Caenorhabditis elegans: one gene and its partner. The protein of the gene in region 1 interacts with the protein of each later gene in a pairwise test. Each region holds a gene or a part of one and is shown on either strand. Other genes may lie near its edges.

What was found.
Region 2: the proteins of F19C7.8 (region 1) and feh-1 interact in a two-hybrid assay, tested with the Caenorhabditis elegans proteins (one large-scale study listed by BioGRID).

What each region holds. Positions count from the first base shown.
Region 1 is NC_003282.8:4,635,087-4,640,054, reverse strand, and holds the start of F19C7.8 (SH3 domain-containing protein), read left to right. Parts: upstream 1-1,959; coding exon 1,960-2,263; intron 2,264-3,084; coding exon of another isoform or gene 3,085-3,221; intron 3,222-3,265; coding exon of another isoform or gene 3,266-3,475; intron 3,476-3,521; coding exon of another isoform or gene 3,522-3,726; exon of another isoform or gene 3,727-3,754; intron 3,755-4,093; coding exon of another isoform or gene 4,094-4,227; intron 4,228-4,272; coding exon of another isoform or gene 4,273-4,485; intron 4,486-4,531; coding exon of another isoform or gene 4,532-4,604; intron 4,605-4,968. Other genes in the region: R105.5 (Vitelline membrane outer layer protein 1), read right to left, coding at 3,085-3,221, 3,266-3,475, 3,522-3,726.
Region 2 is NC_003281.10:2,548,074-2,552,930, reverse strand, and holds the start of feh-1 (Protein Fe65 homolog), read right to left. Parts: upstream 3,012-4,857; 5' UTR 3,000-3,011; coding exon 2,956-2,999; intron 2,862-2,955; coding exon 2,747-2,861; intron 1-2,746. UniProt on the Caenorhabditis elegans protein: Modulates pharyngeal pumping activity, at least in part by regulating expression of the acetylcholinesterase genes ace-1 and ace-2.

The DNA of each region.
Region 1 (4,968 bases):
TTATTTGAGTTTGAAAATGGCTGGGTCTGTGACGAGTTTCTTCAGACATTGGCTCTTTTTTGAAAAAAACTGAACAGTTGAAGAGCGGTGCTTGTAAAAATACTTGAAAAATATTCTCATCTCGTTTGCACCATGTCGCTTCAAATTTTAAGGTTTTTGGCTTTTTTTTTGAACAATGTGAACTTCTACAAAAGCGGGCATAAATCAATAAAAACGCCGTCTTCAAAAGTTTATAGCTTATTTAAAATCCAAACGGGACCCCAAAACTCTTCGCTCTTCCTTAGCTCAATCCAGGTAATTTATCTCCATATCCCCAAACAAAATTGAGCCATCAAGCGAAGAGGTGTAAAATTGTGCAATGCTCAGGGTATTGTGCAATTTATTCGAAATCTTTAGCAGAAGAAAACGAGAATAATGAGTTCTTGCGAGCCATTCGGATATTGGTCATCGCCGGGCAAGCCGGAGCAGCTGCTCTCGCCGCGTTCCGAAATTCCATCAGGATGACAACGTACTAAAAGAGCATTGTACGAAAAAAAACACGGAGAAAATTTGTGGCAGCACACACAAAAACACAACAGCCGCATAAATTTCTCTCCATTTTTTGTCTTCTTCGTTTCTTTCGACACACAGCTGATTTTACACAGAACATCAAAAAGTGAGGGTGGATAATGATGATATGGGCGGAGATGAAGATTTTGTAGTTTTGGGTAAAAAATAGAGGAAGAGAAGAAGATGAAGCTCAGTGTTTTTGGTTTTTTCATCTTTATCTCATCTTTTTTTGAAAATTAGTTGTCGGCAGAAAGCAAATGTACTAATTGAGTAGAGGATTTATGAGTTTTAAAAGTGAAAAAATATTAGGCTACATTTTCTTTTCCTAGAGGTTTGAAATAAGCCTACCACAAAAAGGCCTGCCTACCTTCAAGCCTATGCTTGGTACCTTGACGTTCCGCCTGGGCGCCTCTAATATGCCTTCCATTTGCCTCTGGACACTTATATCTTTTTACCTATATAGTTTTCGGTCGTTAGTGTATAACTCAAACTGTGCTACGTGTGTAGGCAGACGTAGCCAGCCTTGTAGGCAGGCAGGCTTTATGGTTTACATATAATCCCAACTTTAACAAAAATTAGTTATCTTTCTAAACATAAATTAAGCGAATTCGTGCTCTCATTCATGTATATTAAAAGCCCTTGGCACTCGTAGCTCAAAGCGTCATGCGTGTAGGCAGCCTTGTTGGCAAGCAGGCAGGCAGGCATCCATTTTTCTGCCTACACAAAATGCCTCCTATTGCACAAAAATGCCTGAAAAAGATCAACCGGTTCATCGTTCCCGTTCATGTAAGAGGTCTCAAATCGCGAAACTTTCCCTTCCAGTTTTTATCAGAAAAAATCTGAGCTTTGTTAGGCCCGAAACTCTTTGCAAAACTAAAAACTCAAATTCCATAAATCACAATTAAGCTGTTTCTCTGCTATTTTGTATCTGCTCAAAAGTCGGGATTTGTCATTCGAGAACTCGTGAGAACCTCGCCGCCCAATTAAATTTTTTGAGTATACTATGGTCTTGTGATCAGTTTTTTTGGACCAAGTCTAAAGTACATATATTTTTAATTTTATGCGGCGCGTGTGGTAGGCCTTTTCCAAACCTCTGGTGACTGAAAATTCAAAAAAAGAAACCGCAAAACCAGTAACTTGTAGTTTTAAAACTCTAACCTGGAACTTTGCGTCAAAAAACATATCAAAAACAATCCAGTAAAAGACTTTAAAAACCAGGACACATTTTGCACAGTGATTGACAGGGAAGTTGATTGTTTTTCAAAAATCGTTGTTTTTTTTCTAGAATATAAAAGTATATAAACCTTTAAATTTTGAACTCTCTCCAATCCATCAAATTTCCAAGTTCTCAAGTCAAGAAATACTCAATCAATCTCTCTTTGCAGGAAACATTGTGTGTGTGTGAGCAAAATGGAGTTTAAAGTATCATCAAGCCAACGGTGTTCATCTCCTCCTTGGTTCCTCCATCACCACCTGACCACCACTGCTGGAGGAGCCTCTCGTCCTCTTCCATTGCATCACCGATCGCACTCTGCTTCCACCCCCACTACCACTTCATCCATCACCGCATCACCGTCCTTATCTCAACTTCCTCCTCACCAGCCCTACCATCTTCATCAACAACAGCAACATCATCAACAGTTGCACAAAACCATGACAAGTGCACTTGAGAAATGTACATCTTCGCTGTCTGAAATACATAGATTATTAAGAGGTACGTTTTTATGCAAATGTTTGGAGTTATTGTGTTTGTGAGTGCTGTGGTTTTGACTTCTAAAAATGACTTCCAATTTTTTTTTTGAAATTTATTGTACCGTCAAACAGTAGTGAAAACTTGGTTATCATAATTTTGGAAGTCATATATTTTTTCTTACGACTTTTTCATACTTCAATTGCGCTGCGTTCAAAGTGTTGCTATTTGAACATTCTAGATTTGAACATTCTGAACATGCAGAAATTATAAAAGTTCTTTAAAAATTATAAATGTTTGGAGGATTCGGCAAATTACCAAATTTCGATTGAGTTTTGAAAACTCTTTTTTGAAATGTTTTATTATGCCCCACTTTTAAGGATACTATTCCCATGGATACTCGGAAATTTATGTAGTACTTGACAAAAAACTGAACTAAAACCTCCGAAGTTTTTTTTTTCAAAAATATTGATCGTGTTTCTTGATCTGTGTCATTTCAAGAGTGTAAAATTTCCTGCAAAATGTTATAGCAAAAGCCCAACGGTTCTTCAGATATGAGCTCAAATTGGAAATACATGATTGATCGGCAGCTTCGGCTTAAGTTATACAAAATTTTCCATGAAAAAACGAAACATACACCACCAAAATTCAAAATCAAATTAGATTTATGTTTTGAAAAATTTGCTGCTATGGCAATTTCTCTAATGCTCTCATAATTGTAATTAACAAAAAAAAACGTTTTTTTAACGTAAATAAATGAAAAAGATTTATTATACACGTGAACTTGAAATAAAGACGTAGTTCAATTAGTTGCATTTTTAAAATTTCATTCCACTGCTATTATTCTAGACTTTGCGGCATCCATAACTAGCGCTTTCGAGCCCTCGTCTTCTGGTAAATCTTGGGTTAAAACTGGCCAAGGCCGATCCAACATCACACCAGCTTTCCGGGAGGGTCCATTTACCATGAGTGTAGAGCTTGGCTACAAATTAAATTAAAAAACACACATGTTATATTCCACCATACCAAAGAGAAAAGATGGTTGTTCAGTTCTGTCTTCTGGGCGTCCGCACCTAGCACCAAAGTTGGTAATACCGGCGTTGTCAAATTTTTCGGAATCGATTTTTTCTGTGATTCCAATGATAACAGATCCTTTGGGACACCATTGAATCGATCTCCAGTATCCATATGGCGAATCATTGTAAATGACAATTTTGTTATCGATGCTTAGGGTATCTGAATTAGAAATTGAATTAGCTAGTTTACCAATTAGAATAGTTACTTCCGTCCGGTGGATTGCAGAAAAAAATCAGTTCAGTGACACCATGATCTAGGCTCAAAACGCCTCGTTTCGTTTCAAGTTTGAGTTGGAATCCGTTGATGACTGAGCCTTTAGGACATGCAATATAGTCCTCCCGCGTGGGTAAATTCCCATGGGCAGTAGTGTAGAACACGGTGAAGATGAGCAGTGCAATCAGCAGGTGCATAGTTGCAGCCGTTATTAATTGATTGAGTGAAATTAATTTCTTCTTCTCTTTTAATTTTTTTCGCTCCTTAAAAATTTTCAGGTTTTTGTTTGTTATTTTGACGATTCTACGCCCACATAGGAGAACAAAACTTTGAACACAACTAAACTGAAGTGACTAAACTCAATGGAAGTTCGAGAAAGCTGGCGTTTATGTTAACAATCTTTGTTCTTTGCGGCATTTCTATAACTGAAAAATTTGATAAATAGAGTTCTCTGTGTTGCTTAGATAAGAAGATGACAGATTAGAAATTTATTATACATGTAAATGCACAGTTCGAGGGAATGCCTTTTTAAAATTTCGTTCCAGAGGCAATACAAAAAGCAGTTCAGATTTTACGGCATCCATAACAAGCGCTTACGAGTCCTCGTCTTCTGGTAGATTTAGGGTTAAAGCTGGCCAAGACCGATCCAACATCACACCAGTTTTCCTGGGTCCATTTACCATGAGCATAGAAGAACTCTGCAAATTCAATCTCAGAACACACTAAATGTTATTTTATCACACCAGAGGCAAAAGATGGTTGAACAGTTCTGTCGTCTTGTGGACGTCCGCATTTAGCAGCCAAGTTGGTGATACCGGCGTTGTCAAGTTTTTCGAAATCAACTTTTTCTTGGATTGCAATAATAACAGATCCTTTGGGGCACCATGTAATCTGTCTCCAGTATCCATATGGCGAATTATTGTCTATTACAATAAAGTTATCGGGGCTTTGGTTGTCTAAATTGGAAATTTAATTACCTAGTTTACTAATTAGAATAGTTACTTCCGTCCGGTGGATTGCAGAAAAAGACGAGTTCAGTGACACCATGATCAGCCTCGAAAAGGCCTCGCAACGGTTAAAGTTTGAGTTGGAATCCGTTGATGACTAAGCCTTCAGGACATGCAACTAAGTCCTCCCGCGTTGGTACATTTCCATGGACAGTAGTGTAGAACACGGCGAGGGTGAGCAGAACACTCAGCAGGGGCATGTTTACAACAGACAATATTTGATTTGATTTATTTCAATTGATTAGAAAATCTTATATACTCACTACCAGAACGTGACCTTTCAATTAGAAAGTGTCAACGTTAATGATTAATTGATTGAAACTATTTTCAAAGACTCCTGTACTGTGAGACCTGTGAGAAATAGTTAAAACCTAATACCTCTAAAATGACCAAATATCAAAACAAAACTTAGACCTGTGAGTTCATTGTCTC
Region 2 (4,857 bases), on another chromosome or scaffold:
ATATTGATTCATTTTGCAGAAAATTACGATAACTATCGAAATTCTAAACAACACGTGGTGGTGGTTAAGCGGAATATCGGAGCGTCGTTGTTTTCCGGTTTTTTGGGGTTTTGGGCTATTTTTTGTTAAAAAGATCGGATTTTTAGACGTTTAGAAGAAATAACATAAGTTTTTTGAACAAAAATTCGAATTTTTTCGGAAAAATCCTATTTTCAGCTGTTCTATTTCCAGCCAAAGGATTAGCAAATTACGAAGAAGCGGACAAAAGAGAGGAGCTTCAGAGGAGAGAAAAACATATATTAGGCGATAATCTCGTACACATACATACATGTAAATTCAATTTGCAAGAAAATGGAAGAAAAAAAACAAAGTTAGGCGAGGAAAGAAAAAGAGAGAGATGAAGATCGAATGAAACGAGCAAAAAAAAAGGCGAATGAAATTGGTTTCTTCTATTGGCTAGCGGTCGAAAGTTTTCCTGCGCTTTTCTTTTTTGGTGACTAACCACTTTTTATGAGGTTTTGCTTTGGAGGGAACACAAAAAATCATTTGGTGGAAGAGAAATGACGTCATAGGTGGCATAGAAAATTTAACGGTCATGAGTGGGGAAGAAATGCCGTCACACGTGGCCTAGAAGGTTTGCTAAGACAATGTGGAAGAGAAATTACGCCACTCGTGGCCTAGAAACTAGTGAGGCACTATTTTGAAAAATCAGTGACGTCACAGATGGCCTAGAAACCCCTTCGACACAACGACGTCACAGTTGGCTTAGAAAAATAATGACGTCACTAATACCCTTAATATTGCAATTAGGCGGTGTGGAAGAAAAATCAATTTTTCAAGAAGAAACATTAAAAATTTCGAAAATAAAGTTCGTTAAAAAATCTAAAAAATTTTCCAAAAAAAATCGGAAGTTTTCGGGAAAAACATTAAACATTTTTAGAAAAAAATCGAAAAATGTAGAAAAATAAATGAAAATTTCGGAAAAAACCTTTAGAGAAATTTGTTAACGAGCCTTAAAATTTCTGAAAAATCTAAAAAATTCGGAAAAAAGGTTCCGTGGTCTAGAAAAAGCAAACTAGGCCACGGTCGTGAGGAGTTTCCCAGCCATCAATATCTCACGGCCACACACTAATACCAATATGGAAGCCGTCTTAACAAAGAGGCGCCGGGGGTAAATTCTCATGGGGACTGATTTTCGTGTAAGACCCCGACAACGTCTTCTTCCAAAAAAAAAAAGAGGTGAGAGGCTGGTGAGATGAAATCTTTTTGTATATGCCAGCAGCCCTGAGCCGCCAAATAGTGGAATAAATGAATGCGGTAGAAATGGGGGGCCCCGAGGATATGGGGAGGGCAAAAGTGAAGTGGATGCCCCCACCAAAATGCTCTTTGTGCACATAAATCTCTTCTTTCCCAAGATCTCTCTCTCTGAGAGAAAGAGTTGAGAAAGTTTTCGTTTACTAAGTAGTACTAGAACGTACATATAACTGGATCTTTTCGAGTACTCTGATGTGCTCGGCGGGAAGAAAAAGTTTTCTTTAAAAAATTTTTTATTGGGGTTTGTCAGAGGTCGCACAAACAACGACACTCCGCCCATTCCGCCCAATTAAAAAACGAAATTTTTGTGACCACTCAGTCAAGTGTGGCCCTTTGCTACGTGGCCGTGGAAACTCAAAAAACTAGGCCATCAACTTTTTTCGCGGTCATTTTACATTTTGCCTTGTCCAAGTTGAGTTATGCCAAAATTCCAAAAAAAAGTTTTATGATCTTTTTGTGCTCTGTTTTGGCTTACTATGCACTCTCTTTTGCCAAAAAAATGTGTTTTGTATTTTGAGCAGTTGAGCAAATATTGGTGTCCCGTAGAGATATAAATATTGGGAAATGTATCAGAGGAAATATTTAAGTTTAACTTTAAGGGCTCATATCTCAGCTCTGTTTAAAGTTATCAAAAATTTGTCAACCACAAAAATATTTATCACATTTTTTCAATATTTTTAGAGTTTGTAACTTTTTTCTAGCACTTAAACTTTCAGAGATACGGGGCTTCAAAGTCTACTGAGCCGAAAAAAGAAAGATCTCTAAGAACTCCGGAACAACGATCCGAAAAATGTTTTTATGCAAAAATTTGAAGAAAAAAGAGTCACGAACAGTGTTGGGAACAAGAATATGCACTTATTGAAAAAAAGAAAAACGGATATCCAATTTCAACACAATGTCCACTCTTGAGAAAAGGGTGCTCCTACAAAATTGTGTTTTATTGTTTTTTTTCTTTTTTCGACAGGAGGAAACAGGAAATTTTTGAGCACGTTGTTTGAAAATGGGATTATTATTATTATGATAATGTGATAAGCAATCAGAAAACTGGGTTTCCGGTATATTTTTGAATCGGAAGGTACAGTAAGCATGCCTTCAACACGGCCTACGCCTGCCTCATGCTTTTTCCTAAAAGGCAGGCACGTAGGCATGCTTGTAGGCTTGAAAAAAATATGCAGGTATTCGTAGAAACCTGCCTACAAGGCGACCTACTAGCAAAGTACACTTTTGTTCTTCAAATTTCAAAAAGAATTTCTAATTTATTAATATCATTTCTCTTTTTAAGTTAAATAAACTCAAATTCAATAGGTAGAATAAACGCCAGCATTCGGGCCCTGAGAACCTGCCTACCGGCCTGCCTGCAAGGCGACCTATCAGGCAGGTAGTCAGGCAGGCAGGCAGGCAGGCAGGCAAAAATCAAAAAATTCAAACTAACCATCATTCGATCATCGGTTACAAAATTCATAGTAGCCGTATCAGAATCTCGACTCTGTACTCGCTGCAGCCGTTGCTCTTCTGACTCGGAAACAAATTGACTGGGTCGATTGCTGCTGCAATAAAAGGAATGAGCAAAAACTGTGCAAAAAAGAAAAGAAACTGGACGGATTAAATGGAGGCTGGGAGGTGTCAAGAGCACTCACTTACCCCTTATTCACTTCAATTCTGACGCGCGGAGTTCCTTCCCTCATTGCGGCTGAAAATTTGCTTTTTTTTTTGGAAGAGTTTTTGGAAAAAAAAACAAGAAAAGTAGAGCAAAATATTGTTTAAAAACTTAAATTTTGGATTTTTCAATAAATATTTGCTAAATTTTTATGCAATGACGCTCGGAATTTGGCTGAACGTTCCAAGTTTTTTTCTTTTTTTTTCAAATCAAAATTGTTTTGTTCTTAAAGTTAAAAAAAAATGCTGTAATTAGAATTATTAATTTAAATTTTCCTTTTCAAATAGTTTTTGAGTTGTTCAGTGTTTTATAACACCTGTCCCTCTCTTTTTCACAGATTTGATCGTGTTCAGATTTCAGGCTTTTGCACTAACTTTCAATTGCTTATAACTTTGTTCATGTGTGAGATATCAAAAAGTTGTCAACTATTAAAATGTTTAAAAAATATTTTCAAACACATTGTTAGTTGACAACTTTTTGATATCACTTATAGTTAAAAAGTTATGCATGTTTTAACATATAAAGTCAGGCCTTTGCACTTTTTTTAAAAACGTGCATATTTTGTGAACCATAAGTGATATTAAAAAGTGTCAAACTAACAAATTGTTCAAAAATATTAAGTAAATATTTTGTTAGTTGACAATTTTTTAACATCTTTAACGGAAAAAAACTTATAACTAAAATAAATGCAGAAAGGTGAAAACAATTTTAAAAGTTATGATATAATCAACTTTAATTCGTAGCAATAAATGTTTTTGAAATTTGAAAAAATATATTAGAAAAAATATTATCACGAAAAAGCCGATCTGAAATTTAAAAAAATTCAGAAGTTCTCAAAAAAATCTTCAGTCAAAAATTGTTTTTTTTTCTAAAACTTTCGGAAAAGTGAAAGTCTCTGTAAATTTAAAGCACTGTTATAGCACTGAAAAATTTTTAAAAATAGTTAAAATGGCAAATTCAGGTAATATCAAAGTTACAGAAAAAAAAATTTCAAAAAAAAATTTTTGAAAATTTTTCGCATTTCAAAAAATTCCGATTTTTTTTTCAAAAAAAAGAAACAAAATTGAGGTGAAAATATAATTGTAAAAATTAATTAGACTTGGAAAAAACATATAGAGTGCGAAAAAAAAATTTATCGAAAAAAATGGTCTTAAAAAAAATTTGCTCCCGGGAGCAACATTTTTTCTAGTTCAAAATGATATGAATTTTCATAGGGGTCTGTCTATCTACTTAAATGTTTTTTTTTTCAAATAAGATACATTTCTTGTAAAAGTTCGAAAAATGAGCTTAAAATGTTGCGTTAAAAAAAATTGACACATGGTTCAAGAATGGTGGGAAAATAGATAGAGACACTTATAAAAACACACACACACAAAAATGTTAAAATCTCGACTTCTTTTCTTCTTCTTCGTCTGCTTTTCCTCTTCCCAATGTGTGAGACTGTTTGCTCCTGAAGCTGCTCCGCGAGCTGCGCAAGCGATGCCAACAGGCGTGTCGGCAAATATGAGAATTGTATGGAAAAAGCATAGAGAAAGATGTGTTTGTTGAAATTTTAAGGGAAAAGAATTTTTTTTTCTTCAGTCAGGGAAAAGGTTAACATAGGAATGTTGATGAGTGTTGATGATGACTAGTTGTAAAGTTTGTTAAGGGTTTAACTATTTGTAACTTTTTCTTTTTTTTTTGGGAAAAAAAAAGATTCATGGAAATTGGGAAACTATGACTACATTATTGTATAATTTTTTGGAAATTTTGAAAATTTTAAATTGGAATTTCGCGCCAAAATGTTTTTTCAAAGGTTTTTTAAAAATCAATATTCTTAAAGTTCGCACCAAATTTATTTGAAAAATTTCAATATTTTTAGAGATCTGCGTCGAAATTTTTTTTTG